2 linked regions of the Schizosaccharomyces pombe genome follow. The protein of the gene in region 2 purifies or fractionates together with the protein of the main gene of each other region. This does not show direct contact. Each region holds a gene or a part of one and is shown on either strand. Other genes may lie near its edges.

Evidence for each region.
Region 1: the proteins of ptr2 (region 2) and zrt1 purify together in Schizosaccharomyces pombe (co-purification; one study listed by BioGRID). This does not show direct contact.

Annotation. Positions count from the first base shown.
Region 1 is NC_003423.3:3,604,676-3,610,109, forward strand, and holds zrt1 (plasma membrane ZIP zinc transmembrane transporter Zrt1), read left to right. Parts: upstream 1-2,501; 5' UTR 2,502-3,214; coding exon 3,215-4,441; 3' UTR 4,442-4,655; downstream 4,656-5,434. Other genes in the region: cell wall alpha-1,3-glucan synthase Mok13, read left to right, coding at 1-12; histone deacetylase, Sirtuin family, NAD-dependent Sir2, read right to left, coding at 4,971-5,434. UniProt on the Schizosaccharomyces pombe protein: High-affinity zinc transport protein. Regulates intracellular zinc levels.
Region 2 is NC_003423.3:3,405,908-3,411,341, reverse strand, and holds the start of ptr2 (PTR family peptide transporter), read left to right. Parts: upstream 1-2,982; 5' UTR 2,983-3,649; coding exon 3,650-5,434. UniProt on the Schizosaccharomyces pombe protein: Uptake of small peptides.

The DNA.
Region 1 (5,434 bases), 200 kb from region 2:
AGTCGGCCTTAAATATGAAGAGTTTTAAATGGGTCTCTTGATATATAATAATGTTTGTTAATTATTTATTAGCCATTTACAGAAATGTAAAATTAATGAATGAATTATGATATAAAAGTTAATACTTTGGCAGAATTCAAAAGCATGGTTATAAGCAACATAAAGCTTTAAATTTAAATCAATCGAAATCTCAATTTCATATACTAATGTTATAGAATTTCTTTATTTAATTATATTCTTTTAACTAATTGTATGTGTATAGGAAACTTTGAGAGGGGTGTACAATTATTTGTGGGAAAAAATTATTAATCATTTGAAAACGGTAAACCCCATAGAAATTCCCGATGCAATCTTTTAACGGAGACAATTAGATATTGCTGCAAAGTAAGGAGAATATCTCTAGCTGTATAGTAAAATGATTCATAATAAAATAAAATAAATTTTATCGTTATATAATCCATATATAATTTTTTATGCTTTATATTGTCTTATACAAGTTTCTTAGCGCTGGGCAAATTGATCGGAGAATATAAAAAAGGGAACTACTTGATTATGGCGTTTTGATACAAACTAGATCCTTGTGCAAATTTCAAGTTCTATTAGAAAATTTTCGAATGGCATCTTGTAGGGACGCACTGTTTATAGTTTCGAATTTTAAATGTTTAAAACAATAGAAGGAGGTCAATAAATCAATAAATATTTAAATAAATAAATAATTAATAATAAAAAATATAATGAATTAATAAAGAAATATTGCATCTTAAATAAAAAAAATTATAATTGTTACGTTTTTTTTTTTGTTATATGGATATTCTTGGAGAAGCAGTGAAATTTTATTAGGATCTTCGTCGAAAACAGCGATCGATAAATCAGAACATGTCGATCCATGGAACGATAAATAATCTAGAGATGTTGGCTGACGGACAACGAGAGAAAGGTTCAGGACAAACAATGCAGATTTGGTTTATAGAAGATGATAACTAGAGAAGCTCAATATTGCTTTCGCTTCCTTCTCTCTTCTTTTTTCCCTTGTTCATATTATTATAGCTTTGCAAATCAATTTCAGCTTAGTATTTCGATCTGATAGAGCGACAATTATATAGTACCGCGAAAAACTTGCATACAAAGCTATACAAAAAATATTGAGATAAAACTGGCAGTACATACCAATGCGACTCAAAATTCTTTATCTTTTGTTTCAAAAAAAGAAAAAAATTCTGCTTTTCCAAGATTCCTACCCTGGAGTCCTTTCTCTAAAGCACTTAACAAAAAGCATATAAGTTACCGCCTCAAACAAGATTGTGATTAGACATCAGCACATACAATTTCTAGATTTACTCTATTCCCAATAATAAAACAGAGTGACATGTAAAAAAAATTCAATTTTTTAACAATTGTCTATTTGAAGTAATGTGCGACGAAGCTCCTGTGTACGAGGGTTACCTTTTCAATTTACACCAGGTTTGCGCAACTCGGCAAAATTTAAAATTCCGAAAACCATCGAATCCGAGCGCAAAATGCATTAGAGGAACTTCTTTAAAAATTTCTCATTCTCAGTGTTTCTAAGGTATGTGGTATGTGTAAATCTTTTTGTGCAAGCTCATTATGAACGTAACGCTTTTCTTTCAAGTTCTTTTTAAGTTGCTTCAAGTTGGAAAAAGAAATGATTATCGGATTTTCTGATAAGCGTTCGATCGTCATGACACTTTCCCCGTGATTTATTGCTCTAGACTTGAATCTCCTAAGTTGATTTTCATATTTGTTCCCAAAGTGGTGGGCTCATTATCAAATACTTTTTAAAATCAATATAAAATATTTTAATTATTCGTCAAAATTGAATGTCTTACTGTAGTTGACACTAAACTGTATTCAAGCAGTGTATTAAAACACTCCGTCCTCTGATAGTGCAAAAAAAAAAGATCATGGATTGTTCCATGTGGCGATCCCCTTTTGGCACCAGTTACGATACTACCATCGACTGGTCCTTTTTTTTTTTCTGAAATAATAATAAGATGGTTGTGACAGATCGACGTCAATCTGCAAATAAAATTTACCTATTTTTAGTAGATGCTGTCTACAATTTAGTCAAGTGATGTGTTGTCATGCAAAAAGGACATGCGACTTGTGTGTGTTGAGAGTATAGAATTTCAACGAATCTTAATTCATTGCTTCGTTCTATCCTTCAAATTTCTCTTTTTAATTTGAATGTTTGTAAGAATTTTCTTTCACTTGGGGTCGTTTTCTTTTTATTCAGTTTGCTATCTAGTGTGGTGGTTCGAGGTGCTTATTTACTTACCTATTTTCAAGCGTCGATCCTTAAACCTTGGTTATCCCGACTTTCAAGTGATATACGTGGTGATCTGTACAAATTTTCCTGTGCAAAATTACCATGTTACCTGTCGTTGCTATCCCTTGTACGTCGATTCGCACATCATTAGAATGACAGTCAAAAAAACAGTCCAAGGCTTTATATAAAGAAAGCAGATCCTTTCATTCCAGCCACGATCCGAGTATTTTGTTTGTATTCTGTTAGGTTTTGTTAGAGTACGTTATCAATCTTGTATTCTACGCTGCAAATCCTTTATCGATTGATTTGGCAGAAAATAAGGCAGTTTATAAGTTCAGTTTTACGATTATTTTGATTGATTTCGTTATCAAGTGAGATTGCTGATCACTCCTGCTTCAACTCTTACGTTGCTAATACTAAGTGAATACAATCAGCCAAAAAACCAAAAGGACGATCGCTTTTTTTTTTTGGTTGTAGATCTTATCACTCATTTTTTGTATTGGTTTTGTTTTTTTAAACCACTTTGGATTCCTAAGGTATTTTGCTATTGTTTTGTGGTAGAAAATATCGATTATTTGGAGATCTTTCTTTGCAACTTCAACCTATTCCCTTTTTGTCTTCCTCCTGTGCGCCTATCGCGTATTTTGCTTTTCCCTTAATTATTGTTCGTTCAATCAACTCCCCGCTTTCTCATTTGTTATTTTTTTTTTTAATTTTTTTTGGTTTTGGATTTCAGGTTTCGTTTGGTATTTCCTCGTTGCTTAATTAAACTATTATCCTCTCAGTTTATTGCTCCCTTTAACTCGTTCTGCTCAGCTCGGAGGTTGTTAAAAAATTTCTATTCCATTTTCACTCTCTTTAACGTTTTTCGTTGAAAACAAACTTTGCCCTGTTGAGTTATATCTTGTATCTTTCTCGTACATTAAAATGTCTTTAAACAATTTATCTAACTCATATAATCAATATCTTGCTCAAGAATCTCACCAAATATTGAGACATCTTTTTCTTAATAAGCAATATAGTCCATTGGTAAAAAGAGACGATGATAGCTCTGCTACTGTGACTTGTGGAGGTGATGCCAATGAATTCAACGAATATGGTCATCTGGGATATCGTATTGGTGCCATCTTTGTTATCTTGGCTACTTCATTAATTGGCATGAACTTACCTTTGGTCCTTTCTAAAATCACCAAAAACAGACCCAACGTTTATATTGAATATCTCTATCTATTCGCTCGTTATTTTGGTTCTGGTGTTATTTTGGCTACTGCTTTTATTCACTTGTTAGCCCCTGCTTGTAACAAGCTTTACGATCCTTGTCTTGACGACCTTTTCGGAGGTTACGATTGGGCTCCAGGTATTTGTCTTATTTCTTGTTGGTTTATTCTCTTGTTGGAGGTCCTTTTGAATCGCTATGTGGAATGGCGGTTCGGTATGGAAATCGGCGATCATCATGGTCCAACTCTTGGTGCCAAACAACACAGTCATAGTCACGAAGACGGTGCTCACGGTGTTCATGAACATCCAGTTTATGATATTGAAGAATGTGCCGATGGTGTTGAGCATGAATGTGTAAAGGATGACTTGGAAGAAGTAAAACTAGAACCTTATACGAATACTGATAGTACCGATTTGACTACTAAAGAAGAAGCTCGTAGTTTCTTACTAAAGCAACAACTTACTGCCTTTATAATTCTTGAATCTAGTATCATTTTGCATAGTGTTATTATCGGTCTTACAACTGCCGTCTCAGGTGAAGAATTTAAAACTTTATTTCCCGTCATTATTTTCCATCAGGCCTTTGAAGGTTGTGGTTTAGGTTCTCGTTTGGCGGGAATGGCCTGGGGCCCAAAAACTGCATGGGTACCTTGGGTGTTGGGCGTTATCTATTCGTTGGTTACGCCTATTGGTATGGCAGCTGGTTTAGGTGTTCGTGAGCATTGGGATCCTCTTGCTCATGGGTCTTATGCTGCCCAAGGTGTTTTGGATGCTATCTCATCTGGAATTTTGGTTTATGCTGGTTTAGTGGAATTACTTGCACACGATTTCTTATTTAGTCCTGAAAGAGAACGTAACTGGTATAAGCTTATTTACCTTTTGGCATGCTCGATGGCTGGTACTGGAGTTATGGCTTTGTTAGGTAAATGGGCTTGATTTGGTGGCTTTTTCGATGATCCGTGCATTTTATATTCTTCATTAAATCTGTTTTCTTCTTTTGAGTTTGAGTGTCAATATCGTTGACCAATTTCTAATTGTCCGTTTTCAGTTGTTTCTCTTTAGTATCGTACAATTAGATGCTTCATTGGTTGTATTGATATGTACCAATCAATCTTTCAATTTTAAATAATAATTGTGTCATTTTCACTGATTTACTATGCTTAAAAAAGTAGCTAATTTTGCATAGCCTATGAATGTAATTTGCTTCAATGTTCATTTACTAATTACACAGTCCTTGGTATTGTAAAATGTATTATAACTTGTTTTAATGTGTTTTCACCCAGTTTAGCAGATTTAAACATTAGGTGCGAAGAGAAAAAACAGTTTTTAACAATGGCACTTACAAAACTAAGAAGTCTCAAACGGATAATAAGTTAATGTCCAATAATCTGGCTCTCATACTCGATATATGTATATAATATATTTGCTTCTACATTCAACTTCGATAGATCGATCAGTCCTAAAATTAACAACTACCGTTTGTTGTGCTCGTGATATGATAGGTGCTGGGCTCCTCAAATTTTATATCCAAATCCGTTTCGAAAGCTCGCGTTTTGGAACCACTATGACACTCAGGTAAATCGCAAAGCGCTTGTAATTCATTCAGCCATCCAGCACGTTTACAAATCTCCACAATAACCCAATCACAATAAGGACTTAGAAAATTTACATCGAATTGGGTATGACGAACAGGAGTCCTCGAAATGTAAATCTGAGGAGTAGTAGGAGGAATAACACTGATGAGTTCTGAAACAGGAGCCACTTTTAAAGAAGTTCCAATACAAATTAATAAATCAGTCTCTTCAAGCTCACCACTCCCGACTTTGTTAAAGAAAGAATCCGGTAAGGCTTCCCCAAAAAATGTGATATCAGGTTTCATAATCCCAGGTTGAGCTAGATCATCTTCAGAAGATTCACTATCACCATCTG
Region 2 (5,434 bases):
CAAACAAAATAACTTTTGATAAATAAAAAAGGTACGACAGGTCACGCTATAACTAGTAAACAACCATTAAGTTACACGTTATTACATTATTAAAGTATTCCGTAAGAGATGGACTCTATATCTGATCTGAGGATGTCCGTCCGTCATTCTCGCCTACACGGACACGAGACATTTCAATGATATGATAGTAAGATAGGATGGATAGAGAAGGAAAGAAGAAGTCGGAAGAGACAGAGCAAGGGGTTAAGCAAATTTGCCCAACACAATACGCGGTCGTTGGAGTTTATCTATAGATTTAACGAATGTTCGATAAAAACAAGGGTCGGAATAAAAAATGACGAGAAGAGAAAATTAAGTGATATGACATTTTATCAACGGAAATAGGAAATACATATGGGTGATATGCAGGTACCCGAATATCAAAGAAGGAAACAGTAACCTATGTTTGAAAGAAGACAATTCGTAAATGAAACCCTTCCTTACTTATCATTAAACTAGCGATACTTGTTGGACTTCATAATGCGCGTCTCTATAGACGTTTGTTACTTTAAAAAATCTATTAGCAGAAGGATCAATTGATAAGACGAGAACGACTTGATGTTAAGTAGGCGCAAAGAAAACAAGCATTATGGACGGCTCAATGAAATAAATAATTAACATGCAAAAAATATAGAAAAATGCAATGTTCAGTTTATAGCACTTAGTAACAAGTGTTGCGAATTTTTTCCAACTAGTAGGTAAACATGCATTGTTAACTCTATGAAAACACTGGAAACATTGGTTCCGTGAAACTTTCGACGGAATCAAAGGGGGAAAAGGTTTTTAACGTGAAAAGTATAGTTCAAATTACATGACGAAGAGGTGTGGTAGATAAGTTTTAGAGAGCGAAAAAAAAAAAAAAAAACCAAAAAACCAAAAAGAGGTCAAATTTTTTTTTTCCTTTTCTCTCCTCTCTCCTTTTCAATTGATAAGGAATGGGCATAGAAACAAAAAGCAATTTGTTTAAAAGTTCATAAATTCAAAGGAGAAACATCTGCCAAAGTAGTATCAACTTGTGCACCGACGACGAGATAGAAAAGTCAAGTCAGAATCAGCAATGCTAGAAGCATAGATATCGATGTGACATTGCATACTCCTTCGTTATTGGGGATTTATTTACTAATGCTATCAAACTCAAGTTTCTTCAAAGTTATCATGAACTTACTATAAGAAATCTGATTCTGTGATAGAAGATATCGTTTGGAATTTAGGGTATACTATCTGTTGCTAATTTGCATACTTTTTGAAGTCTTGTGCCTCGCCTTACACAACCATCTCGTTTGCTTGACGGAGGGTAGGGTATCGCTGCATAACGAGTTGGACCATTTCTTACTAGGCTTTCCCGATACTTTCAGCAATCTTGCAGCATTATGGTTTCATTTGGCAAAATGAGGGAAAATGGGTGCGAAAAATTGCTCATACACCAACAAGTCCGTTTTGGAGTGTGATATGTTCATTTCCGTGACAGTTATACCCACTACTATTAATGCTATCACTATTCTTCCTTTCTTACTTTACTTTACCTTACCTACTTGTTGTCGTCCCTCATCATCTTTGCGACAATTCATGTGGGGGTAGGCGAACTAGTCGCTTTTACTATCTCTGCCACCCACGATGTTTACCGGGTTCGAGGTTCTTAAAGAGAAGACCTTGTTTCCTCGTGCACACACCGTGCTACAGCAGACCACTCACCATTCGCATACATAGTTTTACCTTGGTGAATCGCCAGCGCTAATCGCGGAATACCCGGGGAAGGAAACAAGAGAGAAGAGACACGCGAACGTGGTGTAAAGGCCGATGTCGAGAAGAAGGAATGAATTCAACGGTTAAATAAATAAATAAAAACAACAATGTAACACTCATCAAACGATTACATAAATTTAATAAATATGCAAAGTATTAAGAATCTAACAAATATGTAATTATTATTAATGAGCAAACTACAAGTAAGCAATGAATACAACTCAACCCTCAAACCTCTAAAATTATTGAAAAACTTCGTTCACCTGTATGTCGTCGTGAGAGAATAAGAAACGTAGAGGATGTGTTTGTAAATAACAATATGTATGACAATACATAGACAGTCATCTCTTTTCTACCTTTTCCCTCATCCTCATCCATACTCATATAGTAACACTTATACCTTTTACTCTCACTTTCACATATACTAACTATATTGTCTCACATTCTTTCTATACCTCTCCTCACTCTCATTCTCACTCCTGTAGTGAAACTTCTATTTTTGGCACTATAACGTGCTACTCGTTTTTTCCATATGCTCTGCACGTTGTGCTCTTGACCATTTAATTCCATGCACCCCACTTGGTACCCAATTTCATCCCCACTTTTTCGGTCAAGTACGACTTTCCACTTCAACCATGCGATGTGGTGGCACAAAAGTCCTAAATGGAGGTACACGAGTTTTTTCTATCGTTAAGCAAAAACACGCAACTGAACAAGTGCGCAATCCTTCCGCATGATAGTGGAGTAGATGAAAAAAACGGCATCACACGAAGAAATCCAAGCTTATCTATTTCCAGCGGATTTACCAATTTTCACCCCTTTTTCCAACAGGTCACACGTTGTGCGATATGGTTACTCCTCGTGCATTTTTAATCAAATAGATATTCCGCACTAACGTTTTTGTCCGAAATAACATTTGATTTATCCAATCAACCATCAAACCCACCTTTCACGCATTGACCTTAATTATTAAAAATGTGCAGTCTAGACCGGTCCTCCCTCTTTTTTGATTTATCTGTAGGGAAGATAATAAACTTTTTCATACCACGTTTCCTACATTTACGATTTGTCTATCGCCTATCGTGCTTTGCTCACCGTCATTGATAAAGGCGTGCATGAACACGTGGTGACTGCTAAATCAGTGTGGACAAATTTCATTTTCAGCAGTATTTATACTTGAAAATTATCCCCTCAAAAGACATCCTTCGTCGTGCCGTCTAGTCTGTGTTTTAGAAGTAAGAGAAATTCAAAAACCTTGAGTGGAAACTCCTCATCGTTCGTATAATTAATCGTTTGACCTCTTTTGTTTGGAGTTGTGACTTTCTCCACACTTTCACATACATACACTTTTAATTTCCAAGTATTTATTTAATACATTAAGGAAAAATTTTTTCATTCTAAAAATTTTTCTTTTTTTATTATTATTGTCATAAATACTTATTTGTTGTTGTGTATATTTAATCTTGTTTTAAATACCCTTTCTCACTCTCACTCACTTTCATATTTCTTACTCTTAGTTGAGTTAGTCGGCCTTCGATACACATATAAAAGTGTTTATTTTAACTTTTTTGTGAATTCACTTGTCAATTTTGTGTAATTAGTTTGACTAATTATTATTATTATTATTTTTGATCTATTCTTTTTTTTATCTTTTGTACTACAATTGTTTTTTAATCTTTCGCTTGTTTACGTTATTTTTCTCTTCCTCTTTTTTTTTTTTTAATATTCGCCTCTTTTGTTTTCTCGTTTCATTGTAATTATTTTATACCCAAAAATTGTTCTTGAAACTTCTGTTCATTCTCTTTTTTATTATTATTTTTGATTTTCATACGATCGATTTCCTACATTCAATTTACCTGTGTTTACAATGAGTAGCATTGAAGAACAAATTACGAAATCGGACTCCGATTTCATCATTTCAGAAGATCAATCCTACTTAAGCAAGGAGAAAAAGGCTGATGGTTCTGCCACCATCAACACCGCTGACGAACAATCCTCCACCGATGAACTCCAAAAATCCATGTCCACCGGCGTCCTCGTCAATGGTGACTTATACCCTTCTCCTACCGAAGAAGAATTAGCCACCCTTCCTCGTGTTTGCGGTACTATTCCTTGGAAAGCCTTTATTATCATTATTGTCGAGCTTTGCGAACGTTTCGCTTACTATGGTCTCACTGTTCCCTTTCAAAATTATATGCAATTCGGTCCTAAGGATGCTACTCCAGGTGCCCTTAATTTAGGCGAAAGCGGTGCTGACGGTCTTTCTAATTTCTTCACATTTTGGTGTTATGTCACCCCGGTTGGCGCTGCACTTATTGCTGATCAATTCCTTGGTAGGTACAATACCATTGTTTGCTCTGCTGTCATTTACTTTATTGGTATCTTGATTCTTACATGTACTGCTATTCCTTCTGTCATTGATGCCGGAAAAAGTATGGGTGGGTTTGTCGTCTCTTTGATCATCATTGGTCTTGGAACCGGTGGTATCAAATCCAATGTTTCCCCCTTGATGGCTGAACAGCTTCCAAAAATTCCTCCTTATGTAAAGACCAAGAAAAATGGTAGCAAGGTCATTGTTGACCCCGTCGTCACCACCTCTCGTGCCTATATGATTTTCTACTGGTCAATTAACGTCGGTTCTCTCTCCGTATTAGCCACCACTAGTTTGGAAAGTACTAAAGGTTTTGTTTACGCATACTTGCTTCCCTTGTGCGTCTTTGTTATCCCCTTAATTATTTTGGCTGTTAGTAAGCGCTTTTACAAGCACACTCCTCCCTCCGGTTCCATCTTTGTTCGTGTTGGTCAAGTGTTCTTCCTTGCTGCTCAAAACAAATTTAATCTCGAAAAAACTAAACCATCTTGCACTACTACTGTTGGACGCGTTACGCTCAAGGATCAGTGGGATGACTTGTTTATCGACGAATTGAAACGTGCCTTACGCGCCTGCAAAACTTTTCTCTTTTACCCTATCTATTGGGTATGCTATGGTCAAATGACCAACAACTTAATTTCTCAAGCTGGACAAATGCAAACGGGTAATGTCTCTAACGATCTTTTCCAAGCCTTCGATTCAATCGCCTTGATTATTTTCATTCCCATTTGTGACAATATCATCTATCCATTATTGCGTAAGTATAACATCCCTTTCAAACCCATCCTTCGTATTACTTTAGGGTTTATGTTTGCTACTGCTTCCATGATTTACGCTGCTGTTTTACAAGCAAAGATTTATCAAAGAGGCCCTTGCTATGCAAATTTTACTGATACATGTGTTTCCAATGACATCAGTGTTTGGATCCAAATCCCTGCTTACGTTTTGATTGCTTTCTCTGAAATTTTTGCCAGTATTACTGGTTTAGAATTTGCATTTACCAAGGCCCCTCCTTCAATGAAATCCATTATTACTGCTTTGTTCTTGTTCACCAATGCATTCGGTGCCATTCTATCTATTTGCATTTCTTCTACTGCTGTCAATCCTAAGCTTACTTGGATGTACACTGGTATTGCCGTCACTGCCTTTATTGCTGGTATTATGTTTTGGGTTTGCTTCCACCACTATGATGCTATGGAAGATGAACAAAATCAACTTGAGTTCAAGCGTAATGATGCGTTAACGAAGAAGGACGTTGAAAAGGAAGTTCATGATAGTTAT